Linked DNA regions of Struthio camelus. Each later gene encodes a partner of the first gene's protein in a complex. Links are inferred from orthologs where the notes say so. Each region holds a gene or a part of one and is shown in the gene's direction. Other genes may lie near its edges.

The links.
Region 2: APOO (region 1) and MICOS13 share a complex: the UniProt entries of both Homo sapiens proteins name them as parts of the mitochondrial contact site and cristae organizing system (MICOS) complex. The link is inferred for Struthio camelus from reciprocal best matches to the Homo sapiens genes APOO and MICOS13.
Region 3: APOO (region 1) and CHCHD6 share a complex: the UniProt entries of both Homo sapiens proteins name them as parts of the mitochondrial contact site and cristae organizing system (MICOS) complex. The link is inferred for Struthio camelus from reciprocal best matches to the Homo sapiens genes APOO and CHCHD6.
Region 4: APOO (region 1) and CHCHD3 share a complex: the UniProt entries of both Homo sapiens proteins name them as parts of the mitochondrial contact site and cristae organizing system (MICOS) complex. The link is inferred for Struthio camelus from reciprocal best matches to the Homo sapiens genes APOO and CHCHD3.

Annotation. Positions count from the first base shown.
Region 1 is NC_090942.1:135,303,249-135,310,644, forward strand, and holds the start of APOO (MICOS complex subunit MIC26), read left to right. Parts: upstream 1-4,379; 5' UTR 4,380-4,394; coding exon 4,395-4,403; intron 4,404-4,693; exon of another isoform or gene 4,694-4,864; intron 4,865-5,661; coding exon 5,662-5,713; intron 5,714-6,153; exon of another isoform or gene 6,154-6,254; intron 6,255-7,396. Other genes in the region: C1HXorf58 (uncharacterized protein CXorf58 homolog), read right to left, coding at 187-318, 1,458-1,569, 3,631-3,725, 3,991-4,101. UniProt on the Homo sapiens protein: Component of the MICOS complex, a large protein complex of the mitochondrial inner membrane that plays crucial roles in the maintenance of crista junctions, inner membrane architecture, and formation of contact sites to the outer membrane.
Region 2 is NC_090967.1:7,958,737-7,966,375, forward strand, and holds the start of MICOS13 (MICOS complex subunit MIC13), read left to right. Parts: upstream 1-4,627; 5' UTR 4,628-4,726; coding exon 4,727-4,755; intron 4,756-5,950; coding exon 5,951-6,107; intron 6,108-6,858; coding exon 6,859-6,910; intron 6,911-7,639. UniProt on the Homo sapiens protein: Component of the MICOS complex, a large protein complex of the mitochondrial inner membrane that plays crucial roles in the maintenance of crista junctions, inner membrane architecture, and formation of contact sites to the outer membrane.
Region 3 is NC_090955.1:7,729,311-7,737,269, forward strand, and holds the start of CHCHD6 (MICOS complex subunit MIC25), read left to right. Parts: upstream 1-4,946; 5' UTR 4,947-4,970; coding exon 4,971-5,168; intron 5,169-7,959. UniProt on the Homo sapiens protein: Component of the MICOS complex, a large protein complex of the mitochondrial inner membrane that plays crucial roles in the maintenance of crista junctions, inner membrane architecture, and formation of contact sites to the outer membrane.
Region 4 is NC_090942.1:3,045,528-3,053,034, forward strand, and holds the start of CHCHD3 (MICOS complex subunit MIC19), read left to right. Parts: upstream 1-4,506; 5' UTR 4,507-4,629; coding exon 4,630-4,713; intron 4,714-6,704; coding exon 6,705-6,792; intron 6,793-7,507. UniProt on the Homo sapiens protein: Component of the MICOS complex, a large protein complex of the mitochondrial inner membrane that plays crucial roles in the maintenance of crista junctions, inner membrane architecture, and formation of contact sites to the outer membrane.

The DNA of each region.
Region 1 (7,396 bases):
CCTTACTGCTTACTTTCCACAGATATAAATGACTGCAAAAAGTATAATATTATGGTGAAAAGACCCAGTATCATTCTTTACCTGTAAGTCACTTATCTACATTTTAGATAAAATCCTAACTTCCTTGCTAAAGAGGGAATCTTCACAACCAAAATCTGTAATAAAATATCTGAAAACATTTCCTACGTGCATGTAGTCTTTCATTGTAGCAACATCTGTTTCATCTGTTATCCTTTGCTTTTGGTACTGAAGCTCGTCTTGTACTAATTGTTCATAATATTTCCGATGTCCCATTAACTTGCAAGCATCAGCTGCTGCCTGTAAAATACAGCAGAAAAATATAATAAAACTTTAAAAAGAAAAGATAGGCACAAGCCTGCAGTTTTCTTACTTCACCTCAAATTATTCCTGACAATCCTCCTATCTATCAACAAATAAAAAGGACCCTTTGCTAATTTACAGACAACTCCTAGAGAAACTAGAGAAGCATTGTCCAATTCTACAATGTGATAGTGAAGCATTCCCACTGGTCTGGAAAATATTTCTTCATGCTAAACCTGTTTCCATCAGGTCTATCAAGAGACGCTAAAAAAGAATCGTAAGAATTTTTTTAAAGATGGCACAGCAAAACGTAGTTGTTACAAATAACATTTAAGAGTGTGTGTGCCTCCTCAGTCTCTCCATGATACCTTAATAGATGAAGTATCTGTTCAAAGTTCTGATTAATGTCTTCTTTGAGAAGCTTTAATTTTATACAAAAATCTTTTTGATAAAAATTTCCAGCTTTAAGAGGATGCATATTCCAGAAGGAGTATTAACTATTTCAAATTACTATAATTTTTGGACCTGGACATTACTTTCTTGATGTACTTAATTATGTGGCTAAATTAGAAGCCGTGGCTCCTCTTGGAGACATAGGAGAAAGGACTACATGAGTGCATTGCAAAACAGAAACCTTATTCAAGTGCTCTTAACACCCTCTGGTGGAGTCAATGTTCAGTCAATACCTGGGCAGCAAAGGTTCCTAAACTATCAGGCGGCTACATTAGGTGGCAAAAGTTAGGAAGATTCCCCTTCAAGAGATACCCCTTCAAGATAACCCCTTCAAGCCTAGTTATGACAGAACTGCCTCACAACAGAACTGCAAGGGCAACTGTATGACACAACCTATGGAATGTACTATTCCATACATAATCTACACCAAAAACATAGACAAATGCTTTCACATATTTTTGTGTAAAGCTTTGTGTACGCTTTAAGCTTAAAGATAATTTTTCTTTGCTAACTGCAAATTAACAGCGTTCAGTAAAAGCAAGTTACTTGTTGGCATCTGAAATGTGTTATGCGACCAAGACTGAGTAAGAGAATAAACACCTTACACAACGTCAAAAATAACAAGCACCAAGATACCGCTAACTGATCAGAAAAAGACCACACATGAACACGAAGTAAGTCACCTCATTTGATGGACTTATTATTCTTTTTCCACTAATGTACTTGCTGCCTTGGCCTTGAGTGTGGCGAAAAATCTTAAACACGATGAAAGGTGGAAACTCCTGACCAGCAAATCTGAAGAAACAAAGAACACAATTAACTGTAATATGAGAACAGACTTCTGACGACTTAAATCAGAAAAGACTATTGCCTTGTTTTATCTTATCGGAAGGCAATTTAGTACTCATTATTTCTGATACAAGCTGCAAAGAACTTGCTCCAGTCTAACTTGCTCCAAGTGAACTGGAGATCCCACATCCTGGGTTGCAGAAAGCAAGGAGCGCTAAAATATGCAGAAAGGTGTAGTTTTATTTTTTAATTTAATATTTTGAAAATGGAAAGGTAGGGAAATCCATCTTTTTTATCTCTGTACTCTAGCCCCATCTCAATTCTAATGGCATTAAAACATTTCTGAATGTCCTATTGTCTTTTATAAAGGCTGCAAGATAACACATTGAACCCTGTTTGCTTCATGAAAAGCGCTCTAAACATAAGCCCAGAAGCCAGAAACAGTTCTTGTGGGAGGTAGTTTAAGTATGAGTAGTTGAAAATACTTTGTAAATAACTCCCAAATTAATGAGGAGTCAGTACTTAACAAAAAAAAAAAAAACACAATTAGTTGAGCTGGGTTGAAGAATGCAGTAAAACGAAGAGTAATATTTGGTGACTTGAACTAAAAATGGTTAAAAAATGGCTGCTAAACACACATTTTCATATCTCAGTGATCCTGGGAGTTCTTAAGATCTCAGAACTTTCCAAATAGCAAATGTTTTTGTCTAAAGTAATAGAGCTCTGTGTCTGAAAGTCCATTGAAATTCAAAGGAACGACAAGGTTCTCACTGATTTTCAAAGACGACTGGAAAAATAGCTTGAAAATCCTTCGTCTAAAGGAAGACAGAGAATTACTAAAACACGAAATCCTTACATACAAAGCATAGGATCAGTCTACTCATATGCGGTTAAATTGAAAGACTGGAATTTAAGTCTGCAGAAAGGAATGGTATGATCACAATGCTGGCATGTATTTTCAAAAATCATAACCCTAGAATACTTTTTTCATGTGAAGTATGGCTACCTTAATGTAATGTAATGATTTAAAGGATGGCGTTCAGGCAAAAAGATTTATTCTTGTGATTGTACATTGATGAAGAAATGCAAGATTCAGACACGGGGCACAACTGACTTTTACAGGTAAATGTTTCCATGAAAGTCCAGTGAGAGGCTGTGGGAATTGAAGCAAAGCAGCCGAGACCACCTTAATAAGGGGCCTGTAACTGACCACAATAGCCTGTAAAATTCCATTAGCTAAGAAAAGGTCATGAACTGTTATGAGCAGCCTGGCTGCTTTTGAAAGTGGTTTTCCTCTGCCTGAAGTCATAGATAGAATATTGTAATTCCTCTGGAAACATTTTCTTTTAGGTTGTTTTTCATTCGGGACTACATGGTTCTCATTTTCTTGCACGAGTCACGCCCAGAGTGCCAGATCAGAATGTTTAATGAATAATGTGTATGTAAGTCTGAGACTTCCTTTTTTTTTTTTTTTTAAATGAATGAATAAGTTCTAAAGAGATGTTTCTACATTGGACATCCCGAAAGTTGGAATATTTTCTATTACCAAAATTCTTCCAGTATATGGTAAGAAATAATTCAAAATCAGATCCAAGTCCAAAGTACATCCAATTTTAAAAATTCAAAATGTGCTTGATGTGTTCCCCTTTTACATGAATATCTATTTGTTACACTTTTAATATCACAACATATGGAAATCGTGAGCCCTGACTACATAATTATTTCTAAATTCCTAGAGCAAAAATTGCTAAAGCAACCTGGTAAAGACAAAAAGAAGCTAATTTCTCCATTCTTTGCTGTAGCAACTGTCAAATGGCCTCATAACGCCTTACCAAACTTTTTAAAAATATTCAAAACTGCTGGAAGCTTACATGGGAAATTTTAGTCCAAAAGATACAATCTGCAAAAATATCTGTTGTCATAAATAAAGATGTAAAATTAAGTATCGTTCCAACTGTAATTTTGCCTGACAGCGTGCTTAGCAAAAGCAGGCAGAGTACTCTTTTGTCAAGTTACGATCGCACCGTATGCTGGATTGGGGCGAACCCCGAATTGCGTCTACTTTACCTGAATCTGACCTTACACCTCATGCTAGGATCTTTTATCAGTTCAGCTTCTGTTGGGCTCACCCTTCTCATAATTTCATGCGTGATGCAATGTTCCTGAAACAGATCGAAATACAAACTTGAGCTCTTTTGGCTCTCGACGGCTTTAACGTCCCACACCTGCGCTTTACAGAGGAATCGTGAGCGGTCCTCGGAACTATTTCATTCGAAAACGTGGCCGGCCAGTACAAGATGCTTCTCCCCGCCCCCCGCCCACGGGCGCGGCAGCCCGCGTCCGCGCCGCCCGACGCCCGCGTTCCCCTCCCACGCGCAGCGCAGCGGCGGCGCCGGCAGCTCGCACCAACGGCCGGCGGGGGCCTACCGCGGCGCGCACCGCCCGCGTCAGCAGCCTGAAGAGCCGCATCTGCACGTAGCGCCGCCACCCGCGCTGGATGGTGCGCGCCGCCGCCGCCGCCGCCGCCGCCGCCGCCATGGCGGAGCCGGGCCCCGCCCCGCCGCGTTGCCGGGATACCGCGACGCGCAGCGCGCGCCGGGGCCGGGGCCGGGGCCGGGCGCGGGCGCGGGCACGGGCACGGGCACGGGCACGGGCGCGGGCACGGGCACGGGCACGGGCACGGCGCCGAGCCTGAGGCGGGCGCGGCCCCGCCTACTCGGCGGGTTGGCCTCTTGCTTCCCGCCCCGGCTTCCGTAGCGGCGCGCGACCTCGCCGACGTCACCAGCGCAGCGACGCGGCCGCCGCCACGGCCAGCCCGCGCTGCTACCGCCATGTTCAAGGTGAGGAGCACCTCCCCTGCCCCCCCCTCCCCCGCCGCGCGCCCGCGGCCGTTACCCGCCGCCGCTCCCCCTCCCGCAGCGCCCCCCCGCCCCCGCAGCGCCCCCGGCCCGGCTCCTCCGGCGGGCCCGCGCCGCTCCATCCCCGCACGGGGGGTCAGCGGCCGGGCTCGCGGAGGCGGCGGGGCCGCGAAGCCCCCGGCCCGGCGCCCTGGGGGCGGCGGCGGCGGCGCCTGGCGGGGTCTCGCGGGGGGCTCTGCGGCCAGGCGGCGGCGGCGCGGCCGGCAGGGGGCGCCCCCGGAGCACCCTCAGCGGCGGCGCGGCCGGGCCGGGGCGCCGCGCTGGGCTGTCCGCGGGCGGCGGCGGCGGCGGATTCTCTGTCAGCCCCTCGCTTTCTGCGTTAAAGGGACGTGGTGTTAGTCGGTCGCACAGACTCGGTGCTGAGCACTCTCACGTTGTTACCAGCTAAGTTTTTTTCGACTTAGAGCTAAACGTCTTCTTAAATCGGGATTATCCAGGGACAGCTATGCCCAGATTATTTTGCGGAGCGTTTTCCTTACCTCTGGCAAGCTACGAGTTTTATATTTGTTGCAGTCACCTAATCTCTCACAGGTGTTTTAGAGTGAGGTCAAATATTCTATCCATGTTGCAAAAAAAAAAAAAACAAAAAAACGGATGGGACCCCTTCTGTTATTTAAATTAGGCCTTTATTAGACACAGCAGCATGGAATTGTAAGAAATTGTAAGAAAGCAGCCTTTCTTACAGGCTTTGGATTCATGTACATAGCTGTGAAATTCGCTATCTTAGAAGTTTTTTAATTTTTATGTGGGTTGTCAGCAAAGTCTGTGAAAAGGAATAGATTTCCGGGATCTGGGGTCGAAGGTCTTTGCCTCTGAGGTTAAGAGCCCAGACTTGCAACAATAGCAAGTTATGTAAGGATCCTTATGTAAGCATTTGCTGCCAGAATTATTTAGAGTCCCATAAGTGACACTGAATTCTACGTTAAAGGGGTTATATGTGTGCTGGGGCCCTGGTTCCAATACCAAATTTTAGTAGGCACATCAAACCTGTTAGACACGGTTCATGTTTTTCAATGGAAGAGTGGTACATTTTTAAGAAGGAACTCTGTTTTATAAAGAACACTGAAAAGCATAGAAACAAAACATTTTTTTTCTGATTCCAGATCTTGTAACTTTGAGCTACGTTACAGTCCAGTAATTAGAAATTAAGCTCACAGCTTGCTTTCTTTTCTTTTTTTAGGTGCACTACTTGTCAGTTTGCATTAAGCTTGGTTACAGATCTGAAATCTATGGTAGGGTTTTTTTGTACTGCCATAATATTACTGCTCTTTTTATAACCATTGTCATTAGGGATACTCCAGTGCTTAAGGCTAGCCTGATTGCTGCTGCTAAGAATAGGGAAGGTGGCTTCTTGGTCTTGATGTTTGTGCTTCAGGTAAAAGTAGTGCCCAAGAGTGGGGTTTGTTTGTTTGTTAGCATTGGGAGATAGGAGGAAGAAGGCAAGAGAATATGCAGCTGCTTTTTATGTTAGGGCAAATATTATCCTTCACAAAAATATAATTAGGATTTCCTTCCTTTTACTCTTCCTCTACCCCAGTTTTGACAGACTGACGATCACAGTAGCAAGTGAACTAAGAAAACAGACATGAGAAAAAAACAACCAAAGTTCCACTTAATCGTTCACTCTGTTTTCCTATTTGTATTGGGAACTAATAACAGATTTTCCCCGTAGGTTTTTTTAATTAGGAGTTAAAAGCTTTTGAGAAAGACAGTGAAGCAAAAGAATGAAAGATATGATAGGCTTTTTCCCACCAGTTTTGGTATAGTTTGCAGGTGAGTGATCTAATGCCTATAGATAATGATAAACTCTTCAGTTAGAAAAAGGAATAAACTTTTTTTTTTTAATTAATGAAAGTACAGAGCATTGCCTAGAGAGATTGTATGTGATCCTTTTTGTTATCAATTGAATAGATATAAGACTGAAGCAAGTTGAAGGCACAGCTCCATCAAAATGTTTTACTAAAACAATTGGTTTAGTAATATTCCTAGTACGGTATTAAGAAATGAGATCCTAAAGTGAAGTATGGAAATGGAAAATAGAACAGTTAATCTTTCATACTACAGAATAAGTGTTTTATTGTGTGTATACAGCACTTCAGTACTGATTATATGTGTCCTATAGACTGCACGTGAACAGCGTGCTTAAGGAGAGATTCATCTTGCACTTTCAGTTGTTAATTTCATTTTGTTCTTTAAGATGTAAATACAGAACCCTTGGAAAATGTCTGCACTTCAGTATTATGATAGAATGAATGATTAAAGTTTTCTTTTTGAATAGTCCTGTGATCACTGACATCTCTTTGGGAAGTCAAGGGGATGCCATTCTTGTGTTATACTGTTTGTGTGCTTGAGATGCATGTGCATATTCACATAAAACACTCAAATATTTAAAGCATTTGGATTTACTACTTTTGTTGGTGACGTTTAACACCATTTACCTTATTAGCAAATTATGCAAACAGAAAGAAAAAACATACCTGTTTGACCCGGTAGACTCGACTTATTTTTCCTGATTGGAGGTGATCAATAATTAATTATACTTTTATTTTACAAAAGATGTTATTGCTGTTGATTTTTGTAGGTTTCTTTTATACGAAGGATGCTTGTAAGAACATTAAATTGAAGATGTAAAAACTGTATGCATACATATAACAAATGTTTGCCGTAGTCAGATATTGTCTCTGAGTGACTCCCTGAAGTTGAGAGGCTCATTTCAAAAGCCTTCCCCACTGCTAACACCTTTTGAGTGGAGTATATGTCACTGATGTAATAGTTGTTGTAGCAGAGCTATTAGTTTATTAGAGTTGTTTCAAACTTAGGCTCACAGGAAATACTTGAACTCAGCATGGCAGTTCAGATGACTGGGAGGCGTGGTTTAAAAAAATTTGGTGCTGCTTTGAGGAAAGGAAGGTGAA
Region 2 (7,639 bases), on another chromosome or scaffold:
TTCTGAACGCCTGAACTTCTCCACCTCTGAGGAAGGGAACTTTGCAAGGGTCCCACAGCAGCAGTACAATTTCCCCTTTCATTGCACAGCTGCCAAGGCTCAGCTTGTACCTCTGCACCCAGCCCCAGCTCAGCTGCTACAGCTGGTTCACCTTTCACACAGGCTCAGCAACTTCTCTTTTCCCTCCTCCCCACCCCAGCACCATCCCAGAGAAAATGGGCTATTTATGAGGGGCCAGAGGTAGGAAGAAGGGGGGGGGGGGCTGCAAAATATTACAGGGAAAGAAATTCCTCATGGGTGGAATGTGTGCAAGATTAATGGGGCCCTTTATGCTTCCTTTGTATGGCTTTGGAAAGGGAAGGTTCCTTGCACTAAGGAGCAAAAACATTACAGTCCCTGCTGGAAATGCGGTCTCCACCCTTAGCTTCACTAAGCAGGGGATAGCAAGGGAAAACAGGTTCTGCACAGAAACCTTTTGTGACTGATTTATCCCTTTTCTTTCAAGTCCCTTTTCTTTAAGTCTTTTCTTTCAAGTCCCTGTTGACATGTATGCCACAGCCTGAATTAAAGGCCAAAAGGTCTTGTGCTGTCATTTACAGCAGACAAATTTAATAGACACTAAGCCCCTGCATCCTTGTCTGTACAGGTGAATACTCATTTTAGCCCCCCCACTCCTGGCTATGACTCTAGGTCTTGGGCTGATGGCTAGTGCACCTAAGCAATGGCTCCACATCTGTACATTTCTGTGGAAAGCTCCTTTTGAACTCCCCCAACCATGCTGTTCCTAGCAACATTTACCCCTAGACCGTGGACCTCTGTTACCAGAGCCTCCAGCAATGGCCATCTCAACAGAGCCATTGCCATCATCTCCTGTTTCCATGACAATCGTGAAGGCAGTTAAGAGGCCATGGTTGTCACTGAGGGGAACCATGGGAGATTGTACCCAAATTCCCATGCAGTTGTCCCATAATGTTGAGCTCTGCTTGTGTATGTATGTGTGGTGAAGATATCTATTTTGGGGGTGGGATTGTGTTGTATGCATTGAATATCTGTGCATGTGGGATGATATATACAGGTAGTATAGCCACCAGTCTTACATGTGGTGAATGCCTTTGGACATGCAGGAAGAGTGGTTGTTGTGCTGCAATAAAGACTGATGGAATCAGCATGCGCCTCTGCATTGCACATTTGCAACTGGCATGTGAGAACACAATCGTGTCTGGTGGGTATTACTGTACGTGCCTGGCTCTAGTGGAGCGTATGCTGCATCTGTGCACAGGCTTGTGTGTTTGCTGACCTGTGCTGCATGCTGGCCATGAGCAAAGAACTCAAAAATGAAAGCATCTCTTCCACTCTGATGAACTCCCTTGGATTGCAACACATATCTCATTCTGTCTGTGTTCTCCATGCTTTTCCCCTTCCAGTTTGATTCCCCTGCAAGCTCCTACGTAGCTGCTTTGTGTTAGCTGAGCCTGTATTCAGCTCCCAGTAGAACTGGCCCCTATCCCTGCTCAGGTTCAGGTGCTAGTAGCAACCACAGCAGTTTCCTCCGTGAGGAGACTCTCTCATACTTTCTTCAGTCCTCTGCTCAAAAAGTCCCTAGACACATAAAATCCCAACAGTTTCTCCAGCCAAGGAAAGAACAATTCTGTCCCATTTTGGTGAAGAGTTACAAAACACTTTAACTAAAGGGGCTCTCCAAGCAAATTTTAGCTATTGAAAACAACTATGATATAAAATCAACAAAAATATTATTCACCAGTCTTTGCTGCAGAGACCAAAACAAGGCAAGGTCCTTTTATTGTTGCATGCCCACACATGCACATACATGTTAATTCTCACATATTCACACACCTTCCTGTTCAGAGACAGCATCTGGAGGAAAATATGAGGTTTAAATCAAGTTTATCCTTCCTACAGAACACTTCATAACTGCTCCGTAAGCCACAGCAGCCTTCATGCTATTGTGCTGGGTGTTCCACTTATATCCCCAAAACATCCTCACCCAGGGGACCAGCCTTAGAAGGCAGGCTTGGAGCAAAGCCTGTGAAGACCCTGGTTCCCCTTCTCCCAGAACCATGCTGATGGGTTTGTGAAAGCAGCAGGTTGGGATACTGTTTAGCCCACTATTTGAACCTGTTTCCATAGAGCTGCACCCATCTACCTGCTGATGGTACTCTCAAGCGAGTCAGAGACAAGCTCATCCTGATAAGGAGACTGAATATGTGGGGTCTTGAAGCTGAGCGCCCCAGCCAAAACGCTGTAATCTCCTTCCTCTGATGCTACGAGCCAACCTGTGTGAGGTATATAAAGTCTTTCTGTCCTGCATATATGTGAGGTGCTGGGTAGAACCAGGAAGAGTCACGAGATTCTACCTGAGAAGTCTCTCCGCTAAGAGCCAAAGTCATCTTCGGCAAGAATGGAAGAGGGGGAAGGACATGGACTCTCAATCCTTTGACGAGAGGCTGCAAAGCAATTGCTTTTCCCTGTTGAAGAAAGGGGGCACCACAGTCCTGAAAATGGTTTGCATTCATCTAACAAAGGTGGAACCAAAGGCAGTGGAACTCCCTGTCCAGAGCAAGTAACCTTAACAGGATGAAAACAGTAAAGCTGCAGGGCTGGAGGCAATGAAGTCTGCTGGGAGCCAGAGATGGCAGAAAACAGGTCTGGAAGGATCCTCCGGAAATCATCTCATCCATCTCCCTGCCTTTCTCAGCTACTGTTTTCACAGCCATTCATTTGCTTCAGGGCATCTAGTCTGTCCTTCTGTCTGTCCCAAATGAACTGGACAGAGGTAATTGTTTTTAAAATGTCTGTCCCTAATGGAACACTCCACAAAAACTTGTTGAGTCAGCACAGATTCCTCATTTAAACCCCGATTTGAAAGTCTAATTTTACAGTAAATGCCTTCTGCAATTTGCACTGCTGCATTCTATTTCATATTCTTGCAGACATATTTGACATAAAAATACATCAAATCTGAAATGAACTAAACAATCATCTTTTTCCCCAACACCATAGATCATCTGCAGCTGTCCACAAAAATTTAATATGGAAATAAAATCACACTAACATTTACATGTTCTTTTCCATGCTTACGGATCCCAGCATGCAAGCCGCATGTAAAATGAAACATGAAGCAGGGAAAAAGGTGGAGGATTTAGTTCTGTAATTCTCTCTCTTTAGAATTTGTCCTGCAAAAGGAAAATTCAAAACTTAAGTCAGCATTGGAACTTACTAAATACTAACAACATTCACTTACCAAGGTGAGTATCATTAGCCAATATCATTTCTCTATATTTTCTGAGTTCTTTTTCTGTCTTTAAAAATTCTTTTGCAGCCAGAGCAGTTAGACACAGTGAACACAGGAGGAATTAAGTTTTCAGCAGTTCCAGAAGCTGCCCTTCTGCTAAACTCACTTCATCGACTTCCACAGCTCTGCAAACGTGTTTAAAACTAGCTTACTCTCTCCTCTGTTCTTGTGCGAAAGACTCTGGCAGACACAGGGAAAGAAGATAGGAAAAATGCAATCAGATAAACTATCTTGGTGAGGGAAAAAGAAAGTTAGTGCTCAGTATTCCTCTTTGTTCCCTCTCCCCTTAAACGTTGAGCAATGCAATGGTTAAAATTCACGCAGGGAAGCAGGAGAGTCGGAGCCTTTGGGCTTTGTAGCGAGAGCCTCATTTTGAGACATGGCTGCCTAACCGATATCCTCCCAACCCTAATGACATGTTTACTAACAGCTTGCTCCTGTGGTCGATGACACGGAACTCCGCACCCCAGGAAAGCGCCGCGAGGACAGGAAAAGGCAGTTTGTACACACACCACCCTGGCGAGCACAGAGCCGAGGCTCCGATCCCGCTGCTGACCAGCATGTGCTCCTTCAGGCACACGCGCATCCAGTAAAGTAAGTAAAGCAGCTGGTGCCTACTTTAAAACGCGACTGCTGGATGGGGACTAAGACCTAGGCCAGAGCCAAGGCCGCAGGACAAAGTCCCCTCACCCTGTGCGGCCTGACAAAATGACACATTTTGGGACGAAGGCCTTGGTGCAGACTGATAAAAATGCAGCACAGATTCAAGCGTTTCATCTGCTTAAATATGTGTATCAATAAGCAGTTAGTACACTTCTAGTCCAGGCTGATCTTCCCCACCAGCATTGCCTAGTTCCCAGCTGTTTGCGCAAGAGGGAATCAACCCGCAATTCACCCATTCAGAACTGCAGCGCTCCACACACAACCGTATCCGCGCTTTTCACAACGCTTCATCCTTACTCGATTCTGCACCCCCCAGACGCGCCGTGGAAATTCTGCAGCTGTTTCAGGTAAATGATTAAAGATGAAAGCAAGCAATGCAATCGGTCCTGCGCACCCCCTGTTTTGATTTAATTACCGCAGCCTCCCCCGAGCGCCGGGACCCGCCTTCACTCCGCGGCGCCGCCCCTGCCGCCATGACAGCTACCGAGGCGGAAGTGCCTTCCCTGCTGGTCTGAGGAGACAGGACGGGCGAAAGGAAGCCCAACCGAGTCCTCCTACGAGTCCTTCTCCTTTTCAACCGTTCTTCTTCTGCGCGGGAGGTGCGCCCCCCACTGCAGAGAGAGGCGGAGGGCGAACGCTTCTCGCCTCGGTAATGATGGCCGGGGCGGCCGGGGCCGCCTGGCCACGTGACCAGCTCCCGACGGCCTCCGCGGCGCGCAGCGGCCAGCGTGCGCTGCCCTTGGCGGAGCGATGGCCGCCAGGCTGCTTCCCGTCGTCAAGTGAGTCCCGCGCGCGGCTGCCGCCCGCCCCCGCCCGCCCTTTACCGCTTCTCGGTCCGGTCCGCGCCGGCCCGGCCCGGCCCGGCCGCCCGACTGCCGCGGGCCCGCCGCGGCCCTGCCCGCGCCGCGCAGCTCGTTGCCCTTGATCCTGCCCGCGCCGGCCTCGCCCTCGGCCCGGCCGCTGCCTGGCGCCTCCCCAGACGCCTGGCGGGAGCCTGGAGACCTTCCCGCTGCGGGCGTAGACGCATAAAGTAAACCCTGGGAAGGCCCCGGGGGTACTTGGTTGCCGAGGGAGCCCTTTCGGGCCTGGATGTGCCGCCCGCTGGAAGGGAGAAGTTGTGGAAGGGTGTGTTGGGAGCGAGCAATACATCTTAATCAAAGAAATCCCCCAAATGCTTGTGAATAGCCGGGTTTAACTATCGATTCGCTCCTTCCTCTCTTAGTGGCTGTAGCTATTAAGTGCTCTGCTGTCGTGGTACTGCTCTCTGGCAAGTTCTCTTTTTGCCAGGTGTGCAATTGCTGTTTTTTCAGAGGGGGAAATGCTCTCTGCCCTGTGAATTTTTGGAAAGATGTTGTCTCTCAGGTCTCTTATTTATAGTGAAAAAATAATTAAGGATCAAATATTTTCTTCCACTTTGCGAGTTGCCACTAGTGTTTTCACACCATGTGCTGCACTGGGAAGCTTTACAGGCACAAGCAATGCAGGAACAGGCATGGTCAGATGCTAACTGGACTGTAATGAGCTTAACAAAAGATTGGTGTCTGTCAAGGTAATCTGTGTAGTTATTAGCCAGGCAACAAGAACCATCATAAACATGGATTTCTTACCCACAGCTAAATCTGTTAGTCCCTTTTTTCAAGAGTTTATGTCATAATTCTCAGACTTTCCAAAGTGGCACATATTTAGAGAGTTTTGACAATTTCACCTTTTTTTCTTCACAAGTGTCACTGATGATATGTGAACTGGGGTACAGTTTCAAGGGGCTGACTGGGAATATTTGATCTAGGAAAAAGGGGAGGACAGCTAGCTATCTTTCTGCTGTTTTTTGACACTAATAAGACATCACAGTAAAACATTTGTGACCTTCTAACTGCTCTTTCAACCCTGTTCCTTTGCGTGTCACAACCTGCTGGGAAAGGTGCACTGATATATATAATGTGAACTGACCTGTTCACGTGCTTTTAATTCTTTCAGGTTTGTCATCAAAGGAAGCCTGGCTGGAGCAGCTGTATACGTGGCATATGATCAGGGGCTGCTGGGCAGTGGCACACAAGGTGCTGAAGCCCTCAAAAAAGCTCAAGAAGCACTTCCTCCAGCTATCCAAGAATGGACAAATTACATAGGCTGGGAGGTAAGGACTGTGCAGGTGAATGTAGTTAGCAAACCATACACATTCTCTGAATGAAAGCACTGGGAAGGTATTCTGGTTCCAATGACGTTGACGAAAGTTTTGCCGTTGAATCTGGATTTCACGCTGAGAATGTTTTGAGGAGGATTGAAATGGAAGAAGGATACAATTTTAAACCTAGAGGAGAGCAATTGGTCATAGATCTTATTTGAAAGAAGAGATAGAAAGCCTATGCAGGGATATTTCACTATGTAGTGGTATTCCTAAGCTTTTTATTGGAGTATCCTATGTGCTTTTCAAAAATTAATGAAAAGATTCTCTTCCTTAAAGAACTGTTTTTGTCAAGCTCCTAACAGTCAAGTTGGATGCAAATTACCTGAGTAGTCCATTGTCTTTGAGCAGTCCTTAGTTTTTTAAATCTCTCAGACTAGGAGAAGCCTTTGAAGGTTTGAAAATCATTTTCCATGTTGGAGATTATAATGTAACTGTAAGGAGACAGCTACTTAAGTAATTGAGTGGATGTGTTTTCAAGAGCACCCAAAGGATGAATACTGCCTTCTGCCCCTGCTTTATGCTGTGGGAAAGGTTACTTCGAGACTTTAAGCCACATGTCTGATCCCTTTTGAGACTTAGGACGACTGGGCACCTAAATGTCTTTGAGATCTGAGTTCAAGAGGCTTCTCCAAGGTGATGTGGATTGTGTTATAACTGAAACTCCCAAATGCTGATATTTTGTCTCTATTTCTTTTTATAGCTTCCACCCACTCCAAAATTTGACTTTTCTCCCTCTGACTCCTGGAATAAAGGTAAAATAATTTTTCAGCAAACTGTGAAATGGAGTAAGGGGCTAAAAGTGATCTTATCCTGAAGTCTTGTTTTGATGTTGTCCTCGTAAAGTGAATGGTGAAGAAGGGGTGATAGATACTATAATCTGGTGAAAGGAGCATTGGACTGGGACTAAGGAAGTGTATTCTGCTCCTATTCTACCATTAGCCCACTAGGTGACTTTAGGCAGTTCACTTCATTTCTTGATACCTCGATTTCCAACTATGAAGTGAGGAGGAGGAGATGTGCCCATAAACCTGTCTGCCTTTTCCAACTGGAGGAGCTAATGTTTCTTCTACCTACAAAACTTGCTTTACCTGTGTCCCAACACAGGTATGCCTACGCTATGCCACAACATGAGATTGAATGTTTCAGTAGTGTTTGGGAGTCTGTGGTCCCATGAGAACTAGATACAGTTTATGCACCAGTAGGGTAAGTTCATCATTGCAGATATTGATCAGGGAAACGAGAGCGTAAAAAGAAATGATCACTTATTTCTGAGAATGCTGAATCTTTATGTAAGGTTGAAGGGTGTATAAATTCTTAATACTACTAGTATGTCTGAATTCAACCTCTGATCTTTTCAAAAGGGATGAGTGTTCTTGTTACTGCTAGAATTTTAGAGAGGACAAAGCATGTTATAAATATCTTGTAAGGTAATTCAGAATTTTTATGGTGCAGCAAATAGTCCTCATGTAATTAAGGGGAAA
Region 3 (7,959 bases), on another chromosome or scaffold:
CTTCTCCAGTTTCAGCTAATACTGATGAAAATCATGAATGGCAGTTTCTGGGGGATAAAAGGAGCATTAAGAGTGTGTGGGAAGAAGAGGGGTGTGAAGAGAACTGTTCAGTGTGCCCTGGGACTGTTTTGGGGTGCACTAGTTAATAGGTAGCAGCATGGACATGACCTGACAGGACAGGGAGACAGAAGGACAGGCAGCCATGCTGACTAGCTGAGCTGAAGCAGCTGTGAAACAGGCTCTGCAGACTGTGCTGCTGTGCAGCTGAACTCGCAGTGAAATCTAAGTAATGACACTGAGTCAAGGCTGAGTTCTAAGAGTAAAACATGTGAGGTGGATGTGTTTCACATGTGCACCCTGCTTCTTGGGTCTGGCAAGGTCTTGGAGGGGACTGTAAAGGAGGGAGCTGACTCTGCAGATGAAGGCTCCAGAGAAATTCAGATGCCTGAGGCAGAGCAGAGCAGGGGAGCTCTCAAACACCATCGGAGCAGTAGAATCAAGCTGACTGGTGTTCTAGGTTGGGAGGTAGGTGGGAGAGGGACACTCAGCTACTGCTTCTGTGGCAAGGTTCTTCTCTTATGTTGCAGTTTAGATGTCCAGATTTCTGTTGGTCTGAATAGGTTTTTTGGCTTGATACACTGAAAATACTTCTGTGCATGTGGAGTGTGGTTCATTTAAAGACTATCTGGAACTTCCTGTTCATCTCTTCCACTCTGGAAAAGGGACTGTTGTCTGAACTGCCTGGTACGCAGTTCCAAGACACCGTGGTGCAATCCAGGGACTGTTCCGCTGAAAGCTGCATCAGACTGGCTTCTGGGACATACTGAGCTCTCCAGGGATAAAGAGGTTTATTCTTCTAGCTTTGGAGGTTCCTTCCTACCTGGGTCCTCGAGGTAGGTGGAGATCTGCTATAACTAATGGCAGCTTTCCATTGGAGATGGCAGAATGAGGGAATATGAAACATTTGGGGACTGTGTGCATCTCTTCCCCAACTCTCCTGTTCCTGAAGAAGAATATTGAGGTAAGAGTTTTTTAGGAAATCCTCATGGAGGGAACAGTGCAGTGATAGTTTGGATCATGCAAAACACTGCTACTAGGTAGTAGCATTTGCTACCAGGTGTTTCCACTGTAAGGAAAGAAACAGTTTGGATAAGAGCACAAAGTGCATATTGGTTGCCAAAACTATGCAGGCCCTTTGCTTATCTTCTTAGTTAATGAGCAATGCAGCCTCTCTGTTCTGCTGCCTGTAGACTTTGCCCTGCAGGCTTCCAAGTAGCATTGACACCTTAAAAACAAAAAACCTCCCCTCAGTTTTAAATACATTTTTTTTTTTTTTAAATCTACTTTTAAGGAAAAAAGGCTTCCGTTTGTCCATATGTTTGAGCTGAGTTATACCATGTGGTTCAACAGCCTTTCACATTTCTCCTCCGTGCAATGACTGTGTAAAGGGTGGACAAGCAACTGGCCAGGTGAGCTTTTTGCCGCACAGAAAAATGTTCTATGCTCCTCCCATCATTTGCTGTGAATCGGCCTGAGCCACACTTACTTGCTTACTGTAAAAGGGATGGATGACATGGTCTCTGAATTGCCCTGCTGCTGCTCCTAATGCTGCTCAGCTACACCAGTAGTGAGCTGCTGTTAGCCACTACGGGGAAACCTGCAAAGCTTCCCTGGAGCTGGTGGGCCTTGGACAGGGCCAGGAGATGTGGAAGTCTTGAAGCAGTTCAAGAATAAAGGAGCAAATGCTTTCCCATCCCAAGGAGTATTTGCTGCCTCTTGAACACCTTGAATTTGAAAGGACTTGCCTGCCCTCCTTGGTGATGTGAAGAGCAGGTTATGAATTTGTCTTTTTATCGGCTAAATTCAGTGCTGAAGGATCGCCTTGGTAGGTGGTCAACATGTCCATCCTCTCCTTTGTTGGCAGGACTCCAGTGTTTCTGGAGCGTCCCACATTCTGCTGCTGAGGAGTTTCTGCACTAGGTCATGGACTGACCTTCCTCTTGTTGTATTTTTATGTATATAAATGCCTTGGGCCATATTCACAATGGTCCTTGAGCAGAAGTGTGTTATGTGTTTGTGGGGGGAGGGAGATGCAAAGAGACTAAATATAGAGTAAATGTATATTTTTTGTTTGTAAAATAAAGAAATAAAATTAAATTTGGCATAAATAGTCCTACTTTCTCTCTCAAGTGACGCATGTTAAGGGGGAAAATATTTTTGGAATTTTTTCTTTTAAAAAGCAAAAGATAAAACCCTGAACAAATATGGTGGATATTAATGGAATGACAGAGCTGGAGACTTTGGGTTCTTGGAAGTCTATTACTAGGACAGCAGCTGACAGTGCAGAGAGTGGTCTCCAGGTCTAAATAATTAGTGAAGCTCTGACTCTTCCTGTTAACTAGATCTTGCTGTTCCCTGGCATGTCCGGCATCAGGGATCTCCGCTATAGGCCAGTCTTTCTTGCTTGGAAAGGGGCTCGTGTGGAACTATGAGTTGACTGTTGTACGCTTTATTTTTCCTTTGGGCTTTGAAATGAACTCCACTTAAGTATTTGGACCAATTTTTCTGGCTGTACAGGGGACAGTAGCCTGATGTAACAGCTAAGAGCTGGCAGTAGCCAGCACCTGTCAGCCGCTCTTTGGTGGAGCATACAGGCTGGGGAAATGGAGTAAGCTTTGTCTCTAGCCTGAGAGTTAAGTCAGGTCTTTGTGCAGTAAAGCCTACTAGCCTTACCTTACCAAGCTCCTGCCAGACTACCTGCAAAAAACTGTAGGGGTTGCCCGAGGGACGCTAACCACAGGAGTTAACTTGACAGCATCATCTGCTCCTCTTCACATGGATAAGGGAAGGGTTTGAGTTACTGTACAGGTGCTCTGCCACCATCGCAATTGCTTCCACCTCAGTATTCTCAGGCTCTGGGAGATCACAGAAAGGCACAGCTGTAGGTCTGAATTGTGTTTTTGTTTCTTTGCACGCTCCCCCTCCTGCTATGTTTGCATCCTTGCAGATGTTGCCTGGCACCTGGCTGGAGTTGTACCTGGAATTACTCCTGGAAAAGGCCTAAGGAAGGGTGACAGAATAATTAAAGTTGCGGGTTGTAGGAGAAGCAATTACACGATTGAGAACTCATCAGCTTGGAAGAGCAAGAGTAAAGGTCTCTGAAATCCTGAGAGGACAGAGGAGGTGAACAGGCAATGACTGTTCAGGGGCTCTTTCAGTACAAGAACTGGGAGCCATCAAATGAAATTGGTGGGTGGCAGATTAAAAATAAATGAGAGGCTGTGAGAATATTCTGGGAGGAATTGCTATGCTCTTGCCTCACTCATGCTTTCTCCTAGATATCAGCTGTTGTCCCTTTCAAAAGCAGAGTTTTGGCTTAGCCAGACCTGCTCTCTGACCCTGCGCAGCATTTCTATGCTGCAGTGCAAATAGCTGATAGTACCGTTTTGTAGTGCTCTAGTCTTGAGAGGTCAAGCAATAAGCAAAGTCTGCAATGTGCTAGGTGTTAACCCAAGTAACAGAAAAATATTCTTCCCTTTCAGTAATATGCTGCAGGCCTGGATTTCTTGGGGAGGGAGTGGGGATCCTTCCTTAGACCTGGCCGGAGTCCCATTGCTGAGCCAAACCGGTGGTTTCCATGTTAATTATAGTGAAGGGTAAGCATTAAGCACAGTGAAAGCTGTTCTAACACACAACTAGTAAGTAGGAAAGCAGTGTGTCGATAGCAAGGCTTCAGTAAGTGTCTAGCTACAAATGCACAGAGTTGTATAGGGCATGATGTAGCCTGTACTGCTAGGAAAAGCTCCTCCAAAAGCTACTATCTCTTGCTCCGGCTGCTTGTGTTTTACATTATCTTCTTTCTCTTTCCCTTCATTTAGCCTGCAGCTTCTAAGCGCTTGGAGGCAGGGTCTGTATCCTGCTGAGGGTTTATATGACCTGGAGCACAGTGCGATGCTCTCATCTACATGGCACCTGGGAACGTGCCTGTCATAGCAAGGAACGTTACAACTGTTAAGTCTTTGCTGGCTTAAAGGAGATGATTAATTTTGCCTGCAAAGCAGCTGCCATAAAATTGACTGTAATTCTTATTGACTGTAGCCTATGTTTGTTTTTCATCATCAGAGAAACGTGAGCTGCGCTGGGGTGATGACGCATTCCCTCAACAATTATGGAGAAAAGGTGGATAGAGAGGGACACGGGGTGCGCCGGTGGGGTGGAGGGGGATGCCTGTGCTCGGCGCCGGAGGTGGGCTCTCATGGGGCACGGGGCCTAGACGGTGAGGGGGGAAATTGCCTGGACCCCCGTAAGGGCTTGTCGCCCTGGGGATCTTCCACAGCCGGCAGCATCTTGGTCGCGTGCAGTGGGTGCTCGTCTGTCTCGTCCAATTTCCTGAATCTAAAGGAATATCTTAAAGTATAAGCTCTATGCTTTCCACTTTTATTCATTTACTGTGTGCTAATTTGGGCTTCTTTGCTGTTTTCCTCTGCTAATTTTTGCCCAGTAAAGAAACCCGTTATATTGGCGTATCAAAGTGAAAGTGTAAGGGGTAGTATGATAAAAAAGTGGGCAAGATCGGCACCTCCACTCCCGAGGGGAAGCTGCAGGAGAGCCGAGGGGCAGAAATTGAACCTGAACGTGCTTTGGTGCAGATTGTTTACTGCTGAGGGTAGCTTTTTCCAAACTGATGTGCTAGGATTGTTATTTTTAACTCCTCCTGAAGCAGTTTGAGTTTTTAGGGGAGGGAGGTTTGCCTGGCACAAGCGACGGAGGGCCAGGTTTGGGAACGCGGCTGTCTGCTGCATCTCCTGGGCTCGCCGCGGAAGGACGGCGCCGGCAGAGCCCCCCGGGGCCCCCAACCCGGGCGGCGGCCGCCGCACGAGACTACAACCCCCAGCCTGCACCGCGCTGGCCGCCAGCAACGCGCCGCGCTATTGGCCGCCCCCGGAGGCAGCCACCAATGAGGGGCGGGTATGTTGGCAGGCGGCGGAAAGGGGGGCGGGGAGCGGTGTTGCTCGCAGCGGCTGTCCCGGTGTGAGAGGGGGGGAGACTCCCCCCCCCCCCATCTCCTCCCCGTTGGCATGGGGGGCAGCGAGAGCAGCCACGGCAGCAGGAAGGTCTCCTTCGGGCTGGATGAGCGGGAGCAAGTCCGGGTGCTGCAAGGCATCAGGGTGAGACGGCCTGGGAGTACTGTGGAGCCTGGGGGGGCAGAGGGGTTGGGAGGGGAGAGGGGCGCTGGGGGGCAGAGGGACTGGGGGAGAGGGGTTGGGAGGGGACAGGGGGTCTGGGGGACAGAGGGGCCTCGGGGAGAGGGGCTAGGAGGGGAGAGGGATGTCAGAGGCCTAGGGGAAAGGGGCTGGGAGGGGAGAGAGGGTTTGGGGGGTAGAGGGGCCTCGGGGAGAGGGGCTGGGAGGGGAGAGGGGGTGGAGGAGGAGGAGGTCGAAGGGGAGAGGGGCCGGGGGGCAGAGGGGCCTGGGGGAGGGAGGCTGGGAGGGGAGAGAGGAGTCAGAGGCCTAGGGGAAAGGGGCGGGGGGGGGGAGAGGGGAGCCAAGAGGCTGGAGGAGAGGGGCTGGGAGGGGAGAGGGGTGTTGGAGGGCTGGGAGGCAGAGGGTATCAGAGGCCGGAGGGAGACAGACTGGGGGGAAGCAGGTGCAGGGGAGAGAGGTGCCAGAGGCCTGGGGGGAGGCTTGGTTGGGGGCTGCATGGGGCAGGGAGCTGGCCTGAGGGAGGTGCTGTTGGGGGCAGCACTGGTTGAACTGAGGCAGAGCAGGGCGGGGAGGTCTAGGGATGCAGTATGTGCTGCAGGAAGGAGTGAGTGGGGAAAACCAGCAAGGAAGAGGGAGGAGAAGTGGAAGGCAGCGCTGAAGGGAGTGGGTAGTGGCAGTGAAGAGGGCTGACTGCTGGAGTTTGGCCTTTCCTGAGAGATGAGATGCTAATCCTTTATCCTCTTCCAAATTTTGCTCTCGTCTCTTTCCCCTTCTCCTTACTGCTTAATGTGCCCTTCACTGCCACCTTCTGCTTTGCAAGCAATTTGATGCTAAAAGGTGGAAGCACTGGCTGGCTCTGAAAGCATCCAAGAGGAGAGCTGCCTGCCCTTGAATAATATTACCTAGACCCTTAATGAAGCACGCAGGGTGATAAGAGGTTGTGGGGATTGGTGAGGAGTAGGGGTGCTTCTAGAAGGGCCAGTGGGGAAGCTGCTTCTTGAACTTTGATTTGAACATCTACCTATGTGTGTCATGAAAACCAGCTCTAGAAAGAGGTGATGGTATTATTCTTTTTGGTGCCTTTTTTTCCCCTCTGTTTTTTTTTCTCCCTGTTTCTCTTTAGCTATTTCTACTTTATTTCTACCATGATTCTCAGTGTTGTTGCTTCTTTATACTTCTATCTACTTCTTATTCCCCTTCCTAAAATTCCTCTGAAATGAGTTTGCAGAGTGAGTTTTGCTGTGGTTACTTATTTTTCCCCCACAATCAGTCACTTGACAGACGTTAACTAGAATTGTGCTAAGTCTCCCTTTACAGGTGCTTTCAGGTAAAGTCGTTCTTGCCTCATTTCTCTTTGCAGTGTACAGGTGAGGCCCTTTCAGGGCTTAACTCCACCTGTCATATAAGCAGTAAAACAAATTGTTTTAATTTAGTTAGCTTCTCTGTCAGTTGCATAGTGATGGAACTAGAGAAAAATGTGGGTTTGCTGCTATAGGTTGTATATGACCTCTAGGAGCTCAAAATGAAGAGAGCACTATGTATCACATGATACCTGATTAGATTAAATGAGCTGTCGTCATCTTAGATCTCTGACTTCCTGAAGTAGAAATGTTTTATTCTTTTTTTTGGTTTTGTTTTGTGAAATAGAATAGTCATTCTTTGTTTTTAGAGTACCAAAGAGATTATTTGCTTTTTGTGGCTGTATATAAAAAGTAGTTCCACTGAATCTGCAGTTAACAAAGACTGGCTTCTTACAGCTTTTTGGTTTTAAAAGCCAGTTTCCATAGATGCTTTTTTCCCATATTCCTTTTGGACATCTCTCTCCGGGTGAGAGGGAGCATGTTCTCAGACTGACGCGTAGCGCTGTGTGTTAGCCTGTATGTGCGTGTTGGCTAACTGCAGAACGGCCACAGGCTAAGTCCTGTCTGTGGTTGCTTGTATGGGGTGTTAATATGGAACTCTTTCTTCAGCTCGCTGCTGATTTTCATAAAGTTTGTAAAGAACTGAATTATTTTTGAGATATCCACTACCTTTGAGGTTTAAGTTGAGCAGCAGTGTTATGTATTATTTGATAAGAATGATTTTTCCTTAAAAAGTTAGATTAAACTCTTAAACTCTTAAAATAAATAAGCACTGCCCCCAGGCTTCAAATATGACAGTTGGCACTTGGAGTTCATCCCCACCTGCCTGTCAGCCCCAGAGGAAGTAAGGGCGCTTCTCTAAAGCTGTGAATTTTGTCCTTGTCATTGATAAGACATCCTTACTGCCGCATGGTTTCTCTTGTAGTGGGTATTGTATGTCTGGGGCTATCTTTGTTCAGATCCTCTGACAGAGGTACTACGCATGTATATGTGTGTTTTGAATATAGCGAAAGTGTAAGGGGGGAGGGCAGAAGACCCAAGAAGTTGGCATGGTAAGTGAAGACGTTAGCAATGCTGTTAGATATGGCAGCATCGACATCCACTTTGTGCTCAGTGCTGTCAGACTGTGGCTGGCGTAGGTAAGGAAACTCGATCTCATTTCATTTTGTTTTACAGTTTTTTGGCAGCACAGAGACACTGACCGTGGTGCAAAAGAAGGGGTCAATCTTACAGTGCTGTGAAAAGCCCCTTGGACTGAACTTCTAGGAAAGTTTGAGTTAGCTTTACCTTCCTTTTCCTGGATTGGGACCCAAGTAAGGGAGCGGGAAATAAAGTTCAGGTCGCAAAACTGGTTGCGGCCTTATGCGAATAGGAGGGTTGTGCAGTTGTTCTCC
Region 4 (7,507 bases), about 130 Mb from region 1:
TTGGAAATGACAGTCAGGCTGGCTACAAATTCTGCTGCTTACTTGCAACTGATTTGAACGACACTAGTCAGATAAAAGTATATCAATATAAATAATCACTTATTAATATGACATAATATTAATATATTAAGTTTTGAAGTCCATAGCCAAATCTGAGGGTCTTGAACCACATGATATGCATTAACTTAAGCTTTGCAACAGCTTTCGGTAGATAACGCTGCAAGGCATGGCATCCAGGCTGCCCTCCACGGAAAGCGCAGAGAGATCTCTCGCATGATAACAGGTAGTGCATAATAGCCAGTGAAGAAATAAATAACAAAAAAGCATCCCAGGCTCTCTAGAATTGGTGTCCAGAAGTGGTGGTTTTCTGCAGATAGCAGACATCTCCTGGAGCTGTCTCAGACACCAGCCAGAAATCCATCCTCACTGCTGCAATGAATACAATGAATTGAACTCACCCTTTCTGCTCAGAGAGAGAAGAATCATTCAATCTTTATTCACTGATCAGATTGTTAATCTTGATGACTCAGGAAACCAAACCATGCAGATGTGACTTCCTCTGTGATATCAACTGGTAACTGCTGCTGATAGGGAATAAAATTCTAGCATGCTCTGGTCTTGAACTAATGAGAATAAAACACTGAATGTGAAAAGCAAAACAACGGTTGAAGCACTGAGTCTCAGAGAAGTCATGAACTTTCAGCTTCCACAGGAGCTAAATTGGAATTGAAAGGGAACACGTTCTGCCCTTTATATAACCAGGCCTTTGAACATCTTTGCAAAGTCATGAGAAGAAACTGATGGGTTAGCTTAATTTGCCCTGCAGTCATTACAGATACTGAAAATTGTGCCAATAGCATCAGTGGAAGCAGGATTTGGCACACCAGCCATGTCGTGGAGATGCATTACGTACTCTTGAAACCTCACCTTATGGCAAAGGGCACTGTGAACTGTCCCATCCAACTATTAAAAGGAAAGAGTAATTTCCAAATGCGGAGCACTTGCAGATTTTGCTATTACGGTCATTGCTGCTAAGAGGGAACCTAGGTACTACAAAAGTCTCTCCATGCTGAACATTTCTAAGGAATAGATCACCATCAAGGGATAACCATGTAAAGTCATGAGGTACGACACGCTCACCATGGCAGTGACTGAGCAGGATGATCCTCTGCAGAAGAATAAAAGCTCATAAGAGGTGTGCAATGAGCCTTTATACGTCTCCTTGCCTATCAAGTGCTTGTTTTCATGGCATTTTTTAAGTCCTGAGACAAGAAATTTAGTAATAACTTGTTCCTGGGCTCATTAGGATTTATTTGTTTGTGAATGTCTGGCCATGCTGTCCTTCTCTACTCTTTGGCTTCACCTTATAACTAACAATTTGAGCAGTAAGTGGTACAAGAAATATTTCTGCTCCAAAGGAATATGTCCAGACAAGGACATATCTTTTTATCAAGAGGGGACAGCAACACTGCTTTTTTAACAAAGGGTCAAGAGTTTATAATCTGGCCATAAAAACACGGTGGGTATGTGGAAAGGCACAGAGCTCCACAGAAAGTGAATGTTTTTAACCTAATAAGATCCTGCTTCTGTTTTTCAGCTGCACAGTGAAATATTTGGAGTTTACTAGCTTGAGATGGATTTTCTGCTTATGCAATTCAGAAATGGGTTCAGATCAAACAAGAATCAGAGGCAGTGAATGGATTTGTATTGATTGTTACATCTTTATTTGACATCCTGCTTTTACATTATCTTTTCTCTTGGTAGGAGGGATGTTCTGTCTGGTAACCAAAGAGAACTGACACAGATGACCAATGTTCTGCTTCTTTGGCACTGACTTACTGGGTGACTTCGGGCATGTCCCTTCATCATATGTATCTTAGAATGGCTTTACCTTGACTGAAGAGTGGGATGCCGGTGTTTGAGGTAGCTCACTTATCAAAAGCAGCCTAGCTTGGCTGCACAGAACTCCTGTGGACTGATTAACACTGCTGAGTAGTAACATAAACTGTTCTGTGCTGAGCTCTGTTTTGATATGTTTTGATTACGGCTGCTGCCTGCACTAGTTAGTTTGAACCAGGTTGTGTTTTTCTATGCGACATAGCAGTCAAATCCGTGTACTGTATTGACACACACGCTCTTAAAATAAGCATATTATTTATGAGGACATTTAAACTGTTTGAAGGATAAATTTTATACACAGAATATAACTTCCTTTTGTATTTGCAAATTGCTTGTGAGAGTTGTAAAATAACCATGAGTTGATTTGCCAGCTGTTAATGAACAGTTTTAGTCTGCAAATTTGTTGTGGCTTTTTTTACATTCATTTGTAATACTTTTTTCATCCAGCATTGTCCTTGAAAGAGCCCCCAGATATGTTTGACAGTCCACAGAGAAAAGCTTCTGACAAATATATAACTCTGGCCTGCAGTAAATAGTCTTTCATTTCCACCTATTACAGGGGAGCTATAAATTCTGGGGTACCACAGTCCTGCTTTTTCCACAACTAGTGAACCTTATGGACATATCAAAATGACCCAAAGCAATTTTGAGATGTAATTCTGCCCGTTTGTTCTTCAAGAATGGCTTTTTTTCCTGAAATCTATGCATATGTTACAGCATTCTGTAATTCCAAGTCATACAGAATAATGATAAAAACCCATAGTAGAAAATAGCTCTTGTTAAAAACTTAATTCTCAAATATAAATCTTCTGTTCAGCAAGACAAGAATATTTTCTCAGAACTCTCCAAACAGAGGACAACATATATTAGAAGAGCTGATTCTGATTTGGAGAAGGGCATTTCCACAACAGTTAGACAGCTAACTGAATAAATAAAATCTAGCCCTCAAAACATTCCTGGCACAGAAAAAAAATCAGTAAGCCCTCAGCTTGTTGGTGCTCACACACTATCAAGACAGATATAGAAGCACAGTCCCTCTATTCCCTTAAAAGCATAGATACCAGGGTGCTGAATTCGTAACAGTGTCCCTTCAAACAAACTCATTTAACATCTATAAAAACAGGCATAAACATCACGTCCCATACCTCAAGAGAACAGCTTATATGCCCTTGATGTATTTTCAAGTAATTTTTATTTAGTAGTAAAGTGCCTATCAGCCAATGCTTCAGTAATATTTTGAGCCCCAAGGAAGGCAGATACTGCTGAAACGTCAGCTGATAGACTCCTTACATCCAAAGGAAAATTGCTTGAAAATACATCAAGGACATGTGAGCAGTTCTGTTGATGCAACCAACATCATGCTTACATCTATTCTGAGAAATACAATGAGTCAGTTCACACTGGCTGCAATTCTCCATTATGATCAGAAGTAAACACACTGGGACAAATTTCTTACAAGGCAGTGGAAGGGTTCGGTGCTACTTCAGTAAAAACAGGATATCCTTCCTTAAGCCAAGATGGGAAGGTCGTCTAAGAGCAAAAAAAAAAAAAAAAACCAAGAGAGAGATTCCTAAATATTGTGGTTCTTAATATTTGTATTTCACTCGTGTCAAGGAGCCGCAGCAGAAGACTGGGGTTTCATTGCACTTCATAACTTGGCTAATCACAAGATACACTGGATGGATAAAACAAGTGAAGAGGCCAGACGGTAGAGGAAACAAAACAACATAGATGCATATATACCACCTATGTAAAGATGCTCTTGCCTCATACTTAGGCAAGAGAAATTCAAAGATGTGTCTTGACGCCACTGGCAGCCAGCATACCATATTTTTCTCTAATATTATACTGTGCATTTTTTTTTTTTCTCGTTTCAGGTGCCTCCCCAGAACCTACCTCTGCAGTTCTGCAAACGCAGGTAGGCCTCACCCTACCCGCAGCGGGACTTCACCTGAGCAACAGCCGGATCCCAACGGCCTCCACACCGACGGCTGAAAAGCAAACGCGTTGCGTGTAATTAACGTTATGCCGTCAGCCTCTTGGAAAGAAAATTACATGTCCGCGGGGGTTATGTTCGCAGCAATTTTCGGCCATTATAACGTTGAAAATGGAGTAAGACCTTTCCGCTCGGGCCCAGGCCTCGAGCCTCCACCCCAGCGCCAGCTGCCCACCATGAGCGCTGCTGCCCTCAGGGAGGGACAAGGCGCGCACCTTCAAGCGCCAGCGGCAGGAGCAGACTCGGGGAAGGGCGGCAAGTCCCCTCAGAGCGGCGTCGCGCTCGAGGGAGCCCCACAACCGGCACCGCCGGGGGGAACGACATTTCCCCGAGCGCTGTAGCCCCTCCACCTCGTAAGCCACTCGAGGACTACGCTACCCAGCGGGCACTGCGAACGCGCGTCGCCTCCCGTCGCCACCGCCCGGCGCGAGGCACCCTGGGACTTGTAGGCCACGCCCCCCCCAGCCACCTTGGGGAAGTTCAAACCGAAAAAGTTTGCGGACCCAGGGTACCTTGCCGCTGCTCGGCGGGGGCGCGCGGTTTCCATGGCGACCTCCCCCTAGCCAACGGGGAGCGGGGTTCTATGCGCGAGGGGCGGGGCTGGGCGAGCGGCGGGCCAATGAGAGGCGGCGTTGTTGAGGGGGGCGAGCTGGCAGCGGGGACGGCGAGTCTCCTTGGTGCTGTCCCCGGCCGCGGCCTGGTGGTGGTGGTGGTGGTGGTGCCGCCGGGCGAAGATGGGCGGCGGCGGGAGCAGCACCCGGCGCGTCACCTTCGAGGCGGACGAGAACGAGAACATCACGGTGGTGAAGGGCGTGCGGGTGAGAGCGGGGACGCCCGGCGCCGCCCGGGCCCTCGGCGGCAGCCGCAGGGGCGCTCGGGGCCTGCTCGCCGGCGCTGCCCCGGCCCCTCTCCCGCCTCCTTCTGCCTCCGCGGGCCGCGACCATCCCCTGCGCTCCGTGCCCAGCACGTCCCCCTCTCTCTTCCCTCCCTGCTCCGCTTCCAGCCGCTTTCCCCGAGTGACCTCCACCTGCTTCCTGTCCTGCTCCTTCTCTTCGCTCTTCCTTTTTTGATTTTTTTTAATTTTTTGAACCCCCCCCTCCAGACCTGAGGACAGCCAGGGTGCTTAGGTGGAGCGACAGGTATATCTTGTCAAGCAGCTGTGATCAGGAAGCTCTGAGCAGGGACCCTTGCTCCCAACGAGGTTTCCAAAGACAAATGGCAGAGCAGTTGTAGGAGATACATGACTTGTTCTGCCTTTCTCTGACCTCCACCTCTCAGAGCTCCCTCCCCTTCAATATTCTGCTGTGACTCACGTGCAGTATAACTTGTCTCGTGTGCACCCACAGAAACGTTCCTGTTCTTTCCCTATCTATGGCATGTTGTTGCCTGTAAGACAGACTTTTTGTGACATGGCACTTTTTGAGCAGTCTTCCGTCATGAAAGTTTTTTAGTGAGACACACTGTGTAGTTCATATCTGGAATGATGAAGAATTGTCTTGTATTGCTGCTCTTAGGGAAGAATGTTGCAGCATGAACAAATATAGTAATTGCTGCCTGTCTCAGCATACTAATATTTTTTTGTTCTGGCTGTTTAATGATTTCAGACAAATAGCTCACGATAATGTAAGCGTTCATAGGAAAGTTCATCCTCTTTAAAACACCTGGAGCACAAGAACAGAATAAAGTATTTGTTATTTCATTACTTGCTCCAGGGGCTTAAGTACGAGGAAGTAGTATTGAAAGTGCTGTAAAATATCTTGGATCTTGAAAAATTGGGAATAAAAAGTGAATGGTGTCATAGATACTCAGAAGATTTAGCTTGTTAAATAATGTTAGGGAACAGGGCATGTAAGAGTGGGTCTGTTGGCGTGTGTAGAACTATGTGGTGTTCAGAGTTCTAGGACTGGGCACAGAAACCTTTAGCTGAAGGAATTTCACACTTTCAGTTGCATGTTAGATCGAAAATTTTAGCAAAATCTTTCTAAGAAGGGTTTCTGCCACTGAAGCACACTCTGCTCTAAGTTTAGTAATATTTTGATAAAAAAATTTACTAGTTAAAATAAACTTTCCTTGAGCAGTCAAAACAATATTTTTAGGAGTAAGTGGTGAGGAAACCAGTAGAAAGTTCTAAAATGGAAAACGAAACTTTCATGTTATTACTGCTTTAACTTATGTTAAATATTTCTGGGGGCTGGACTAAGCCTGAAACTGGGCCTTGCTTTTGTTCTCAGTTTGGTTCCATGTAAGTTATGACAATATTTTATGCGCACGTATGTCAGCATTAGAAGGAACTTAGTGGTTGCCTAGACTTGCTTTTACCACTTGTGTTATACAAGTATCTTGAGAACTTCTTAAGGACGAAGTTTTCCTTATGATAAATGCTGTGCAACTGTACACTCTGGTATTTGACTGTCATACCAACAACTGAGAAAGGCAAAAAGGCTGATGAATTACAAGCAGCATATCAAAGGGTATTGATTCCTTTACTGTCTGTGTTATCTTTTATTTTGTCGTATCAATGCATATCAATTCTCCCACCTTCAACCTTCTTTTTCTATGGGAGCCTAAACTACCTTGTTCTCCGTGATTGTTTGCAGTCACTTTGGTTGATCACCACACAAAGAAAGAGAAACATGGTTGAAACAGAACATTTACATTGTTGATAAAATCTTAAGCTGCTGTCATACCTTACTTTGTGGGTTTATGCCCTTTTAAAAAAAATTTTCATTTAATTTTTCATTAGGGGAGGGGTGATAGGAAGGAGGAGATGCTGTCTGACTGTTTTTGGGTGGGGGGTTATTTTTTTCAGCTGTCTGAAAATGTCGTTGATCGCATGAAGGAACCTTCTTCACCTAGTGGAAGACCGCAATCTCAGCACAGATCGGCATCTGGTGCAGGTATGCTCGTGTATTCTGTGTTTTCATTAGAGAAAGGAAATTGAATGTATGTTTCAGATCATTATAGTGAACTCATTACCATTTCATAGAGGTGATTGTTCCCCTTATTTTTTTTCGCTGATCATTTTTTGAAGAATGAAGTAGTTTGTGGGCTGTTAGAAGACTTACTGCTTTTATTTTCTTCTGATTGACAGTAAAATGTTAAAAACAACTGTTTGAGACTTGTTTTTCCCAAGGTATTACCAATGTTAGAGACTCTGCTTTTTCAAAAAACAAGACAACAAAAAAACCCCCTCCTCATTCAGAGTATGCTTTGGGTTCTGAGCTGAAAATTCTAACGTATTTGATCAACGCTAAATTTTAGTATAGTGAACGTTTAGCATTTGCTACAGTGTATTTCAATAAAAGAAGGATATATTATTCCCTATCATGAAATCGTTGAAATGAGTTTTATATATTCAAATGTGTATGTATAGAATACAGATATATTTTTTGTATGTTCATGTGTGTGTAAATATTTATACACCCCCCCCCCAAATTCAATAGTTCATTATTCTTCCTGAGAATCTTCCTTAAAAATACCATCAGTTTATACAGACTGATAGCTCAAAATGATAGTTCTGTCAACATTTTGTATTTCGTTGTTGAGGGCTGCTCAAATGCATCAAGTAGACTCTGCACCAGAGAGGCGGTACTCTCATTTAAAAGAGTTTGG